2 linked regions of the Saccharomyces cerevisiae S288C genome follow. The protein of the gene in region 1 binds, or shares a complex with, the protein of each later gene. Each region holds a gene or a part of one and is shown on either strand. Other genes may lie near its edges. A codon is read from its position in the direction of its gene.

What was found.
Region 2: the proteins of RTT10 (region 1) and TRM7 are in contact, whole or in part, in a crystal structure (PDB 6JPL), measured with the Saccharomyces cerevisiae proteins. Residues at the interface, in NP_015142.1 of Saccharomyces cerevisiae: Leu11 (codon at 5,777), Tyr47 (codon at 5,669), Asn48 (codon at 5,666), Lys49 (codon at 5,663), His51 (codon at 5,657), Ala66 (codon at 5,612), Arg67 (codon at 5,609), Ser91 (codon at 5,537), Asp92 (codon at 5,534), Trp93 (codon at 5,531), Cys111 (codon at 5,477), Tyr112 (codon at 5,474), Lys114 (codon at 5,468), Ser129 (codon at 5,423), Leu130 (codon at 5,420), Gly132 (codon at 5,414), Glu133 (codon at 5,411), Arg134 (codon at 5,408), Ile136 (codon at 5,402), Tyr138 (codon at 5,396), Met158 (codon at 5,336), Phe183 (codon at 5,261), Arg223 (codon at 5,141), Trp225 (codon at 5,135), Ser273 (codon at 4,991), Trp275 (codon at 4,985), Asn291 (codon at 4,937), Arg658 (codon at 3,836), Glu685 (codon at 3,755), Thr835 (codon at 3,305); in NP_009617.3 of Saccharomyces cerevisiae: Leu84 (codon at 2,168), Pro127 (codon at 2,297), Asp128 (codon at 2,300), Val129 (codon at 2,303), Thr130 (codon at 2,306), Gly131 (codon at 2,309), Leu132 (codon at 2,312), His133 (codon at 2,315), Asp134 (codon at 2,318), Leu135 (codon at 2,321), Tyr138 (codon at 2,330), Val139 (codon at 2,333), Gln142 (codon at 2,342), Arg167 (codon at 2,417), Gly168 (codon at 2,420), Arg169 (codon at 2,423), Ile171 (codon at 2,429), Asp172 (codon at 2,432), Met173 (codon at 2,435), Tyr175 (codon at 2,441), Lys189 (codon at 2,483), Arg191 (codon at 2,489), Thr196 (codon at 2,504), Leu198 (codon at 2,510), Asn233 (codon at 2,615), Lys234 (codon at 2,618), Cys236 (codon at 2,624), Asp239 (codon at 2,633), Ser242 (codon at 2,642), Glu246 (codon at 2,654).

What each region holds. Positions count from the first base shown.
Region 1 is NC_001148.4:196,730-205,892, forward strand, and holds RTT10 (tRNA (34-2'-O)-methyltransferase regulator RTT10), read right to left. Parts: upstream 5,808-9,163; coding exon 2,766-5,807; downstream 1-2,765. Other genes in the region: MRN1 (Mrn1p), read right to left, coding at 1-1,059; mitochondrial 54S ribosomal protein bL36m RTC6, read left to right, coding at 2,366-2,647; CTI6 (Cti6p), read left to right, coding at 6,692-8,212; TCO89 (Tco89p), read left to right, coding at 8,519-9,163.
Region 2 is NC_001134.8:362,007-367,637, reverse strand, and holds TRM7 (tRNA methyltransferase TRM7), read left to right. Parts: upstream 1-1,918; coding exon 1,919-2,851; downstream 2,852-5,631. Other genes in the region: CNM1 (Cnm1p), read left to right, coding at 1-668; YBR062C (uncharacterized protein), read left to right, coding at 1,038-1,053, 1,136-1,662; ORC2 (origin recognition complex subunit 2), read left to right, coding at 5,124-5,631.

The DNA of each region.
Region 1 (9,163 bases):
TGGCAGATTCGTAACCACTTTTATAGCATTTAAAATAGACGCAAAATGAATAAAGGCGATTCCCTTTTCCTTGATAATTTTTATACAGTCAATTTCACCATATTCTTCTAAATCAACCCTCAATTGCTCCTCAGATAAATGTGATTCTTCGCCTTCAATCGTCATACGGCCAATGTATACATTTCTTGTGGCACCGTCCGTAGAGATTCTAGCCGCTACAATAGGATCAATTCGAGTTGGTTTCCCCCACCCGATTTTGATATCCCTGTCACCGATGTTCAAGCGCTTTAAAATTGCGTCTGAATGGAACAATAGTGCAGCACTTTCATCTATAAACGAAACGAATGCACACATCTTTTCAGGTATGATTTTGACGTCTTCAACGACACCACTTCTGACATGATCCAATAACTCTTTAACGCTTAGGTTTGGTGGCACATTACCCAAATAAACAGTTCTACTTGGGGCCGATGTAAAATTCAAAGGATTATTGGCTTGTGCATTAACTGGTAAAGGCGCATTTGCGTTGGTTACTGCAGTTGCAGTTGCCATAATAGTGGGTGACATGCCATCAGATAACACATTTGGATTCTCATCATCAAAAGGAGAGACTTCATTTGATGACCTTTCATATTCATAATAACGATTGTTATTGTGGACAACTTCGTTATCAATTTCGAAATTTTGTTCCTGTGAAAACCGTTGCTGTTGTGAATCATTTCGCTGCTTTGTCTGGAATTGAGTTGGTTGCTGTTGAATACGCTGATAATCAAAAATTCCGTCATTCTCGTAAAAGAACGAATCATTAGGCTCTCGTGTAAAGTCGGATGGTAAAAGAGTAAAATTACCATTCATAGGATACACAGCATCGCCAAAGTTTTGAGGGCCACTCGCATAAGTTTCTTGGTAAGGGCCGGAAGAACTGGACTGTTGATACATTGCAAAGTCATCGGAAGAAGGAAAAGGAGGGAACATGTTATTATTGTTATTATTATTACTGATATTATTATTGTTATTGTTATTGTTATTGTTATTATTATTGTTATAAGAAACCACCATGTTTTAATGCAATTGAAGTAGTATGTGATGGTGAAGAAAAAAAAAAATACAACGATAGTTCTTTGTTTTTCTTTAGGAAATATCTGAATAGAAAAGGCTTCAACGACCAGAATTGAAAAAATAAAATAGTATTAGCAAAGAAAAATATGATATTTTTTTTCAAAAAAAAAAAGAGTGTCCTTGAGAATTGAAGTTGGAAACGGATATTAATTAGACAAAAAAAATGATGAAGAAAGATAAAGTGAAAAATATGAGGCTGGAATGGACAGTTGAACCAATTAAGGAGCCTAATTGGTAAAGCAGAACAGGTGAGTCAGAAGACTTAAAAAGGGGCAAATATCAAATAACGGAAGAACGAAGAAAATAGAAGAATACAATGTTCAAAAGAAATGAAGCGTATGTGTATCTAAAGGAAAGGTACAGAGACTATCAGTTCTAGAAATTGTAAATTGGTAAAATAAACAGAGAAAGGAAGCTTAAGGAGAGAATTCAGTGGGGAATGTGACTCTGTGAAAATAATGTATAAGAGTGGGCAACGGTGTTCTCGTAGATATAGCGCTGTGCTGAACCAAGTTTAGTTTTTTTTACTTTCCACCAAAGGCAAAGAAACTGATTAATTTATTGCTGTGACGAAGGGATGGAGTATGATTGCGGTTGTGACTGAATCTCTTTGTAGACTTTCGGACAACCACAAGATCCACTTTCTGGTAAAGTTAATTTCAAGATCGTGTTTTTTTCTGTCTTTTCTTTCTCTTCTCATAGCCAAAATCGTACCACAAGGAAAAAAAGCACCGGGTTACCATGATGGTGGAATCCCACTGTAAGAACATAAGAATGATAAGTACGCAACTGCCACGGCAGTTGGAAGAAAGACATAGTCTGCCCTCATTCGGCGTGTATTATTGGACGTCAAGTTACCTTTTCCAAGTGTTTCCCTTTTTTGTCTTTTGAATTTGTCAATAGGGAGTGAAAGGTCCATAGTTCAAGGGCATTCCAAAAGTGAGGATAAAAAAAGCGTAGTCATAAACACTTCAACGGTGTTGCCGAGAATGACGACGGTCCGGTAGAAGGTGGTGCTTTTATCTATGTATTAGTTATTTACTATCTGCGTAACGAAACTATGATTTTTTTTTTCTCTCACCCAAGCCGAAATTAAAAATTCTGTCTTCGCACTTATTCCAAATAGAAAGGGAATGAATCGTGGAACTATTGGCATTGGGATATAGCCTCGATCTACTCGCATATAACGGCTACGGTTCATAGTACAAATCTCAGAATTTTTCAGCAAGCGAAAGGATTTCAAAGAATGTTTTTACAGACTCTCCGCCTAACTATGCCAAGGATGTTTTTGCACATGAAACCGTCCCCCATAACGATAACAAGGGCCTGCACAGTGCCCAGCCTCCTATCTGTTGCAGCTCCGCAACCAGCTCTTGTTGCAGCTAACAGACCTTTGGTTTTTAACAGAGGTTTCAAGGTCAGAACATCTGTCAAAAAGTTCTGCAGTGATTGCTACTTGGTAAGAAGAAAGGGAAGAGTATACATTTATTGCAAGTCGAATAAAAAACACAAACAGCGTCAAGGCTGAAAGATGTAAATCTCTTCGCTGTTCTCCGTTCGGGTGTTTACAAAATATTCTCATTTTCTAAAATCTGTAAATAATACATATCTATAATATTCTTTTATGTATATGTTAATTTTTTGTATCATTTTTTCCAAATTGATAAACCAACACCTCCGATCAGTAACGTTTTCTCAGAATCAGCATCTTCATCATTGGAAATGATTTCTAATGATCCTGTATCCGCCACAGTGGTACGCTTTTTATCTACCAGTGAAAGCTTGCCTGCGGTAATTTCCCAAGCGCGTATTACTTGATCAACCGATGTGGTAATGACTTCTTTGCCACCATTAATCAACATACCGGACGTTATTGTCGAAGAAGCTGCTGCAGCGATAAAGTCACTTGTTTTTAACGTTACTTTATTCGAGTCATCTAATTTCAGGTTGCTTAACCCTAAACCATTATCATCACCCCCTGTCAAAATTGTGGCGGAAGTTCTTGTAGCATTAGCAACATAGTCTAGGGACTTGACACCAGATTGATGTACCGGCAACTGCGCTACAGGTGCGGGAAGATTTGAGATAGTAGCGTCCAGTTTGTGGTCAACCAAATCGCCAGAAATCGGATCAACGGAAAATGGTACGTACTCGGTTATATTATAAACCACTAAATGTCCATCAGTTGGTGAAATGACAACAAGGAGCTCTTCTTTCAGTGCAATAAATACGACGTTGAATAAACAGCACGTCTTATAACGACCTTGCATGATCAGGTCAAACTTATTCTGATTTTCCCTATAGTGCCAAATCTTTATTGTTGAATCTGAATAAACAGTAACTAATAAGAAGTCACCTGACTGTGATATAAATTTGACATCAAAATCCATGATCCTTAGATCAGAATTATTTGTGGATACAGGTAAAGCTTGTCGTATGGTCATATATGGTCGTTTATTATACTTATCGTTCAATTCCCATAAGAATAACTCCTCTCTAGCTGAAGATGATATCATTAGTTTGTGATTTATAAACTGACAACGTTGTAATCCAGACACATGCTTTCTTTGTGTCCAAAAATTCTGCACCTTCCCTGTTCTATTGTTAAAATATCCCAGCTTAATTGTAGTATCTTCAGATGCAGTACAGAATATATGCCCATCCTTAAAATTGTCATTCGTGTTGGTATTTGAAACAGGACAGATTGAAATATCTCTGATTTCCCTTCCGTGTACACCATTTTCTAAAGTTTCAGGCACAATGGAGTTGTAAATTTTCCTTAAATGAAATCGGGATGCCTTAATATACATTAATACGTGGCCATCAGTAATTTTTGCGAGATTCCACAGACGATGGGAACCACCACAAACTTCACTAGCTAGTTCATAACAGTTGGTTTCATTGTAGAGATAAAACAAGCTGGACTTGAACCCATAAGTAATGTATTCACCTTTTGAATTAAAGAAAGCGCCCTCCAAGAAACCTTTCATCATCTTATTAGAATGCAAGACCTTATAACTTAGTCGGTAGGGACCCTCTTCCAAACTGTTTTTCGTCAACTCAATAAATACATAATAGCCATCCCTATTTGTTACTGAGAAGACCGCAGAGTTGTCTTTATCTTCTACAAATTCGATTGAGGTTGTAGTGTCTCCGGGACTTAATCTCCTAATTATGAAGGGCTCCTCGCTCTCATCAAGTAAGTTGTAGATTACTAATGTACTAAAACGTGAGCCGACTAAAATATGATTTCGGAAGGAGGTCAAACATGAGGAAGAAAAATTTTCCGGCTTATTGAAACAGTGCTTGCTTTTAATTTTTAAGTTCTGAAGGCTTATTTCCAAACATACAAACTTCTCTCGAGGATTTGGGGATTGTAAAGTCAATAGGAAGGAGTCATCATCGTATTCTGTAACGAGACAGTTATTTGTCTTAGAAAGCTCATCTAAATGGAATTCTTCGGTCTCAATTATGTCAGCGCTATCTTTGCTAAATTTGATAAGAAGGATGTCACTTTTATTATTGGAAAAGACAGCGATATTTTGCGTTTGAATCCCATTTGTAATTGGATACGAGTTGAATTTTTCATTTGTTAGTAACAACTTCCATTGTTTCGTGACATCACTGTATTTAAGTATTTTACCCAATGAAGTGATAGCAATTACACCGAATGAAAACCATTGAAATCCCTTGATACTTTCATTCTTTTCGAAAATATCGCCACATTGCTTTGCGATATCATCTAGACTGAACGATGTTTCTTCATCGCCGTGTCTCTTCAGTTGAAGAAGATCAATCAGCTTTAACCTACCATCATTCCCGGAGGTTACAGCTATCATTTCGTCGTCTTTCACATCAACGCCCCATATACTCTTGATTAAATGTACTTCGTAAACGTTAGATATGGATAATTCGGCAACGTTTTCTCGTGATTCGATAATGTTCCATACACGGCATGTGCAATCTTCAGAAACACTTATTAGTTTTGAATCATTATCAAAAAACATTAAATTCCATATTCTTGCCGTATGGCTCCAGCCAACAGACAGCTGCTTGCCAGTTTCTAAATCCCACAGTCTAATTGATCTGTCGTCAGAGCAACTGGCAACATATCTTCCGTTGTTGCTTAAATTAACATAAAAGATAGAACCTTCATGACCCAGTAAGTTATGAATTTTTGTCTCCGAGAACAGGTCCCAAATGATAACACCGCCCATTACAGTACCAGCGTTAACATATACTTTATCCGGACCGAAAACTTTAATTATACCGGAATATAGAATAGATCTTTCTCCCCCAAGAGACTTCCTAAAAAGAACTTCACAATTTAAATCACAAATTAGCACTTTATTATAACATGTTAACAAATATATTTGCAAGTTGTCAAAGCTGAATGTAGCACCGGTAATCCAATCTGAGTTAATCCTTTCGAAATCCACCAATGACTCTTTCTTTAAAACGTCTTCAAGTTCCACTATTGTTACTGATCTTGCACCATAGGCCAAAATTTTCCCTTCACTAGAAAGGCTAAGTCCATGAACTTTATTGTAGTGAAATAGCCTACATTTGTTAATCAACGTAGCCGAATGATAGTCATAGACATGGATGAAAGGCCCATAACCAGCTAGAACATAATCATTGTAAAATTTAACACATAGCGCAGGACCATAATGAGACAAGTCCTTCATTTTAATCACTTATTCTTCTTCAATGAGCAACTTCAATTGGCGGGAATGAGAAGCTAAATAACGATGAGGTCCGCTAGCAGAAGTTTTTTCATGCTCATATTTTTCCACTTTTTTTTTCTTACATTTTTTTTTTCAGCAGCGTCGTTTTTTGTGAGACGCCGATGTGTATGCTAGGCTTAAATCTATCATTCAGACCCCAGTGTAAAACATAAGCGGTGAAAAGTACGTAGGGTAGTATACAACTCACCAAAGCACGACTACGTGAAAATGACCCTGAGAGTATCATCAATGTTATCGGCTGTATAAATAATACACCAGAACAAATTCCTCTTAAAGATGTAGGCAAGACCAGACTCAGTTTCTCTGAGCAGTACCTTCAATTTTCAATTTTTGATAGATGTTCGTCACTAATATTTTTTTATTGAGTTAAGTTCACCCACTTCTGGCACTTCTTATAACCTTGATAATTAAAAAGACCTCGGCGGTTATTTTTTATTTTGAGCAGTTATAAAGGGCATTACCCTCATCATCTTGCGGAAATAGGACGGAGCACGTCGCAGACAGGCTTTAACGTAATCAATTAGTTTTGAAAAATTTCTCCGCTATGGGTAAACTAGGTAAACCGCACAGCACAATCAGCTGCATTTTCTATTTTCAATTTTCTATTGGTGGCTTTTCACTGCATGATCAAAAAATAACGTTTTGTTGATTAGTTTTTTCTTTTTTGTTCTTGTTGGTTTTCGTATATGAATTTTATGTAACTGGGTATTTACAGGGGTACAAAGTTCACAACAGAGACCATCAATAGTTTGTTTCCTTCGAAGTTTACTTTGCGTAACCTTACTAAAAGATAGCATAAACATATAGGAGTATAGAGAAGAGTAATGGAATCGACAGCAATAGTGCCTAAAGGCCCTGTTGTGGGTAGTGAAGATATGGAGAAAGCGGAAGTCATTGCTAGTGGGTCCACAGACATTATATCAACAACATCAACAGCGACAACAACGGCGGCGATTGGAAGTGTACAGGAAGAAAGTGTAAAACAAGAAGATGTTCCTATGGAAGGTGGAGAGGGGGAAGTCGAGGAAGAGGAAGGCGAAACTCGCTGTATCTGTGGAGAGCTCGATACTCCAGATGACTCCGGATTTTTCATTCAATGTGAGCAGTGCAGTTCCTGGCAGCACGGTTATTGTGTGAGTATTACTCAAGACAACGCACCTGATAAATATTGGTGCGAGCAATGCAGACCGGAGTTACATCAGCTCTTTACCACAGATACTGGCGAAGCAAGGTCAATCTATAAACCTGTGCAAGAGAAAAGGAGGCAATCAAGAAGGAAGGCACGAAGTGCAGCTGCAAGTAAATCTCATGCCGCCAATGAAGCAGAGAAAAGTCCCAGAAATACCAGCAATACCGATGATAACGTCGACGATATCGGCGACGAAGAAGATGAAGTAGAAGATGAAGCTTCGGCTGTAGCATTAGCCAAGGACGGCAACACGAGGTCAAGTAGAAGGAGGAGGAGGAATTCAATGGATGATGCTTCTACCGATCAGTATTCACTGGATCCTGGAGATAGTGATAAGAAGCTACTGGATAGAAAAAGGGCAACTTTCATGGCAAGAGAAGAAAAGCAATATCAAAGAATGCTTGAAAAAGCCTTGAAAGAAAGCAGGAGGACATCACATCAAGAAGATCCTGAAAGTTATGAAAATGATGCTGATATATACCAAGGTGATACCGACAATCACAACGGCACCACTCGATTACAAACGGATGTTATGCTAACGGAAGGCAAACCGGACTCGGTAACAAATGATGATATGAAAGAAAGCCTACGACCATCGAAAGAGCAATCAATGGAAAAAACAAATGATGTGGAAAAAGAAGCTAGTCAAGAAAAGGAATCTTCTACGGGTTCGGCGCAAGACACTGAGAAAACTGATGAACCCATCCTACCCCTAACCTCAATATCTTCTTCTGAGGATGATTCAAGGAAAGCTAGTTCGAGGGGTTCTAAAAGAGTTTCCAAACCAGCAAGAAAGGGCAACAGAACTCGTCGAAGCAATACAAGTTCAGACACCAACCAAAATAGAAGGAGTGCTGATATAGGTACCGACAAACCAGTAAAGCCCAGATTACCCCCTCAAAGGACCTCATTAAACGAAATGAGAAGAAGGGTATCCGCTATTTTGGAGTTCATTTCTAGAACTCAATGGGAATTGAGTGAAGATCAGTCTGATCGAGAGGAATTTGTACGATTCGTGGAAAACCAGCATTTCGTAGAAAAAGTTGATACGATTTACAACGGTTATAATGAAAGTCTATCAATGATGGACGACCTGACTAGAGAGTTACTACTATGGGAGAAAAAATATTCAAATAACACTAATGCCATTCAATAAACGCAAAACACTGCAATATTATTCTCAACCAAAGTATAACTGTAATGAGGCGAACAAACACATCTATACATATATATACATCTATATGGATATAAAAACGACTAATTCAACGTTGTTTTTATCAACCGAGCTTACTCTTGTACGGGTAACCGCAAGGATAGCTAGTTGCGGATGGTATAGCGATTTGGCTGGCACGATGATTAAGGAATCCAAACATCTAATGGACTAGCACATTCTATCGATTTACGGGTCAGGTAAACATAGATATTGGGATATATCATATATCCTTACTGAGTAACTATAATTATGGTTCATCGAGGAAGGACTTTGAAGTCAGACACTGATGTAACATCTCTTAATGCGTCAACAGTATCACACCAGTCAAAGCCATTTAGACAGTTTTCGACTAGGTCGAGAGCAAAGAGTAACGCAAGCTTCAAAGGTTTGCGTAGAGTTTTAACACATGATGGCACCCTGGATAATGATTATTTTAATAAGCACAACGTTTCTCAGAAATGCAAGAGTTCTGATGCACTTTTCAGAAAGCGAACGATTAGTGGGTTGAATATGACAGCTTTAACAAGAGTAAAGTCCAATCAAGGAAAAAGATCAGCATCCTTTCATAGTCCGGTGCATAATACGCTGCTCAGTCCAAAGAACAGCAGTCATTCTAATACTGGAACTGCTGGTTTCGGCCTGAAACCACGAAGAAGTAAAAGTACCCAATCTGTTCTGAGTCTTCGAGATGCGCAAGAATCTAAAAAGAGTGAATCTACTACTGACGAGGAGGTGGAATGTTTTTCGGAAGACAACATTGAAGATGGAAAGGTGAATAATGATAAAGTAATAGCCGAGCATGTTATGCCTGAAGAAAAAAAGAATGTGCAGCAATTAAATCAGAATGAATTACAATCCCCGGATTCAATAGATGAACAAGAAGAAGATAAATCA
Region 2 (5,631 bases), on another chromosome or scaffold:
TAACTTTGAACCAAAGCGATGAAAATTTCACCTATGGCAATTTTGATGAGTACGACTTATTAACTAAAGATTATACAACAGAGGTCTTAACGCGATCACCTGGCTCGAATCCCGAGTTTAAAGCAGTGGTAAATAATACATTACTTGATAGCGCGAATGAAACGCCGTTTAAAGGTATTGAAAAAAGTATTAACGAAACAATGGTTAAAGTTCCTATGGGATGCGATGTATCTCTCTCCCATTATGGCAGACAATACGCGCCTGGAAATATTTCAATTATGAGAAGCTTCACTGCTCGAGATAATACTAAATCTGTGAGTAGAGAAATTCGTGATATCTGTAAATCGTTTTTGATTATAAAAAGCCAATTTGGTGACGAACTTTTCCTGACTATGTTCATGGAAAAACCAGTTTTCTTTGATAACAACATCCCAATTGAAATAACTGGAGCATACCGAGAAAAACGAGAGCGATTAGATGAAGTGATTCATAAGGATCTTATCCGCTATGATGAAGTTCAAAATTTGACAAGGATTCGCAATTTGCTCCGGGTTAAAAGTCAAAAGATTTGTTCCAGGAGACATAATAGTTCGGTTCCCACAAAAAAATTGTTAGTTAATGATAAAGGCGCAACTTCGATTCTACTGTGGTACTCTAACTATTCATAGATAAAGTTTATTTGATACATAATCCGGAAAATGTAAGATATGCCAACTGTTAACTAGAAAACATCTGTACTCTATATATCGGAAACAAAAACTTTACGGGTACAACCATGATGAATAAGCTCGAAATTTTTGCCTTCCATATGAGTCCCATTTTGGTGACCAACTCTCCTACCCGAATTACTGTGATGATATATACTCTTCGTTTTCTAGTAATGGCTTCATTTTGCCTAAGTTGGTCAAAATTGTTGTGGGCGGCTTTTGTTTGCACCGAGGAGCGCTCAGTTCGTTATAATACCAGTTTTGCCACTCCTAAACTACTAAAGAAATAATAGAAAGATATATTCATCAAACATAATCACAATCAAAAAAATGTCTACATATGAAGGTATGTAATGATATATTATGAAGTAAGTTCCCCAAAGCCAATTAACTAACCGAATTTTAATCTGCACTCATCATTAGATTAGAGGAACATGGAATACAACAAAACTCAAGGGATTACCAAGAAGTAGGAGGAACTTCACAGGAGGAGCAGAGAAGACAGGTCAGATCCCAACTGCAAGGTCTATTTCAAAACTTTGGTAACACCAGTGGTGAGGGTGATGCACATTCAGATTCAACACTACTTTTACGATTATTATCGCAAATGCTTCCAGAATCATTACAGGAAGAATGGTTGCAAGAAATGGATAAAGGCAAGAGTGCGGGCTGTCCTGATACTTTTGCAGCCTCTTTACCACGAATCAATAAAAAAAAGCTCAAAGCAACTGACAACTGCTCCATTTGTTACACTAATTATTTAGAAGATGAGTACCCCTTAGTAGTTGAATTACCTCATTGCCATCATAAGTTCGACTTAGAGTGTTTGTCTGTCTGGCTATCTCGAAGTACAACATGTCCATTATGCAGAGATAATGTTATGGGCCACCGAATCATTAATGAGATTGATACAACTGAAGCAGAACTGGAAGAAGATTGGGGTATGTACGGTTAATATCTTTCTTTTATATTATATAAAGACACCAAACCTAAGTAGAATAGGTAACTACGTCTTCTTTCACAGAAGACAGACCTACAAGTATTTTGATTATCATGATGAAGTAAAAGCAACGATAAACTTTTTACTAGGTATTATTATTCTGCGCTAACAATAATTATCGCGAGTTGAAAATTTTCAAGCGATGCTCCTAACATTACTGTAAAACAACAGTAGATGAGTACAAGGCAAGCTTAAAAAGAAAGTATTCAAGATGGGTAAGAGCAGCAAAGATAAAAGAGATTTGTACTATAGAAAAGCAAAAGAGCAGGGCTATAGGGCTAGATCTGCTTTCAAACTACTTCAACTCAATGACCAATTTCATTTCCTGGATGATCCAAACTTAAAAAGAGTTGTAGATTTGTGTGCAGCACCAGGTTCATGGTCACAAGTGCTCTCGAGAAAACTGTTTGATGAAAGTCCCAGTTCAGATAAGGAGGACAGGAAAATTGTCTCTGTCGATTTACAACCGATGTCCCCCATACCTCATGTGACAACGTTGCAAGCCGATATCACTCATCCTAAAACATTGGCGAGGATTCTAAAACTGTTTGGCAACGAAAAGGCCGATTTTGTTTGTAGTGATGGTGCACCTGATGTTACTGGGTTACACGATCTTGACGAATACGTGCAACAACAGTTAATTATGAGTGCGCTGCAACTTACTGCATGCATTCTGAAAAAAGGTGGAACTTTTGTGGCAAAGATCTTCAGAGGTCGTGATATAGATATGCTATATTCCCAATTGGGCTATCTATTCGATAAAATCGTTTGCGCAAAGCCAAGATCATCAAGAGGTACATCTCTGGAAGCTTTTATTGTTTGTTTAGGCTATAACCCACCATCCAATTGGACACCAAAATTAGATGTAAATACATCCGTTGATGAATTTTTTCAAGGCTGTTTTTTGAATAAATTGTGTATATCAGACAAATTGTCTCATTGGAATGAAGAGGAGAGAAACATAGCCGAATTTATGGCTTGTGGAAGTCTTCAAAGTTTCGACTCAGATGCCACTTATCATGACCTACCTTCTTCGGTTGCAGGCACTTCATCGTCCTTAGATCCTGTTCAAAGCCCGACGAACCCTCCCTACAAGAAAGCTTTGGAATTAAAAAGGAGCGGGAAACTCACTAGATCAGTTTGATTGCAATATTACTACCTCTAATCAAACAATTAAATAAGTCACTACATTATAAGATTATCTACAAAATCAACTTTTCCTTGCAATCATTAAAAACGATATAGGTTACGGTTATGTAGAATATCCATTGTATAATATAAAAGAAAATGAAACAGTAATTATATTATATTATATTACATGCAAGCATTGAGGAGTATGGCAATCATTTTTCTTCTTTTTTACTTCACCTCGTCTCTTAAAACATCTGCTTTCGAATTTGCGAGTAATAGAACTTTCGAATTGTGACAGAACCATTGAGAACATGGTGAATCTGTCAATATTACAACCCAAAAGCCGGTTGGTGGTAAACCGTAGTACGGAGCATTACAAAGGATTCCATCGTATAAATTATGCATAAGCATCACCTTGATCCATTTGCCTTGCTCCTATTGCCCTGCTTGTTTGTAGGAAAGCCCCTTTTGGTCAAACGAATTGTTCAGTTCGGGTTTACGCATTACATATCTCCTTTTTAGATACAAAAACCTCGAAACGCTCACATAAACCCGGTTGTTCTTTTGAGTACCTGGCCAATGGAGACATAGCTTGGGGTTAAGTAAAAGTGAAAGTCAGGTTGATACATGTGCCTTTTATTCCACCGAAGAAAGCTTATCCAACATAAGAGCATTATTTAATGGGCTTTCCAATTTATTATTGGCATACACTTCTTTCAAAAATTCGCCGGTCTCAACGGCAGCAAGTGCTCAGCAGATGGAAATTATACGTTAATACTTTTTCCAATGTGATATAACGAAAAATTAGATACTGTGAATTGTGTTTGCCACCTTGATGTTGACTTAGTATTTCCTCTCGGTTGTAAAAGCCAAGAAGGTTTGACTGTTCGTCAATTAAGGTTCTTACGTGGGTTGTGCTAGATACGACGCGAATCAGTATGGTTTCTATCTGCCAATCATATCGGTTCTCTTCCATGGGCTAGAACAGATGAATTCTAGCTCTTTTTTAGCTGGACCAGTAAGGTTCAAATGGTATTTGATAATAGAGAATCACATATCTCCTTGTCCATTTCTGAAAGTATTAATTCAGTCATATCCAACTAGTCACAAACATCCGCATAGGCTTGATAAAACTCACAAGTGGCAGATTCCGAATTATGTGTCATATTGGGGTCATATTAGGACCTTCATTTCAGAATTGCTTCTGCTCCAATAAACTTTTTTTGATCCAAAAATCGTCTGATATAACGGGCGATGTCAATTGAATAATAAAACGGGTTCTATCTATTTTCTTGATCTTTGAAACCAAAACAGTTAGCAGGCAAGTGCAAACAAGTTGTCAATTGCACTCTGTTAACGAAAAAAATATATCTCATCTCCGCCGGTCTTCTTTGGTGGATATATATTACTCCTCCTTAAAGGTCATGCTCCTTTTTATGGGTTCTCGTCGTAATAATCCTGAAATTGTAAAATAATTTAGAGCTCAACACCACCATTGAGAACGTAGAATTTCAATTTTTAAGCTGATTCTCTTTCTGCATGAACTCTCCTAGCAATGTGAAACTTCTCTTAAGGGAAATTTTCGCCTTTTTGAATGGGCATACTTGGCCAAAAATTCAGGATTGAATATATATAATCGGAACTTGTATGGATAAAAATTTATATCAAGAGTCTGTTTCTTAATTGGATTTGCTGTGATCTAGTATTGAGATGACTATAAACCGGCCAGGAAATTAGTCTTTTCGAAGCTGGTTTTGGTTTCGCAAGAGTCTTTTTGACAGCTTTTTGGCCTCAATTTGTATTCCCTTAATACGCTTCTTCAACTCTGTCTTAGAGACCATTTCTCCAGTGGCCTCATCTAGGTGTAAACTAGCAATAGCGTCACTAGCTGCCGTGACATTAACTTGCTGTGGCACCTTTATATGTAATATGAACCATCTTTCAATGGATCATAAGAATAAGTGTCGTAAAAGGCCAAATATCCATGCATAAATATCGACTTATTCGCGTAAATGTGATATGGATCAGCTAGTACCAATTTCTAGTCTAGCAAAATCGGGAAAATTTTTCAGAACACCCACTCACCGCATCATTGAGGTGGAAATGACAATAGTAAGCAGAATTGTTATTCTTCACAATGTGTAAAAGTTATAAAGAAATAGGAACCACCTTTAAATTAAGACAAAGTAGAATATATTAGCTGAAATTGTATTTGATAATTGATCATTGATCTTATTTGCTATATCTTTAAAACAAGTTTTTGTAGTACTGCGAATTGCCATAACATGCTAAATGGGGAAGACTTTGTAGAGCATAATGATATCCTATCGTCTCCGGCAAAAAGCAGGAATGTAACCCCAAAAAGGGTTGACCCACATGGAGAAAGACAACTGAGAAGAATTCATTCATCAAAGAAGAATTTGTTGGAAAGAATCTCGCTTGTAGGCAACGAAAGGAAAAATACATCTCCAGATCCGGCACTCAAACCTAAAACGCCAAGTAAAGCTCCCCGTAAACGTGGAAGACCAAGAAAGATACAGGAAGAATTAACTGATAGGATCAAGAAGGATGAGAAAGATACAATTTCCTCTAAGAAAAAGAGGAAATTGGACAAAGATACATCAGGTAATGTCAATGAGGAAAGCAAGACTTCTAACAACAAGCAGGTGATGGAAAAGACGGGGATAAAAGAGAAAAGAGAACGCGAAAAAATACAGGTAGCGACCACAACATATGAAGATAATGTGACTCCACAAACTGATGATAATTTTGTATCAAATTCACCCGAGCCAC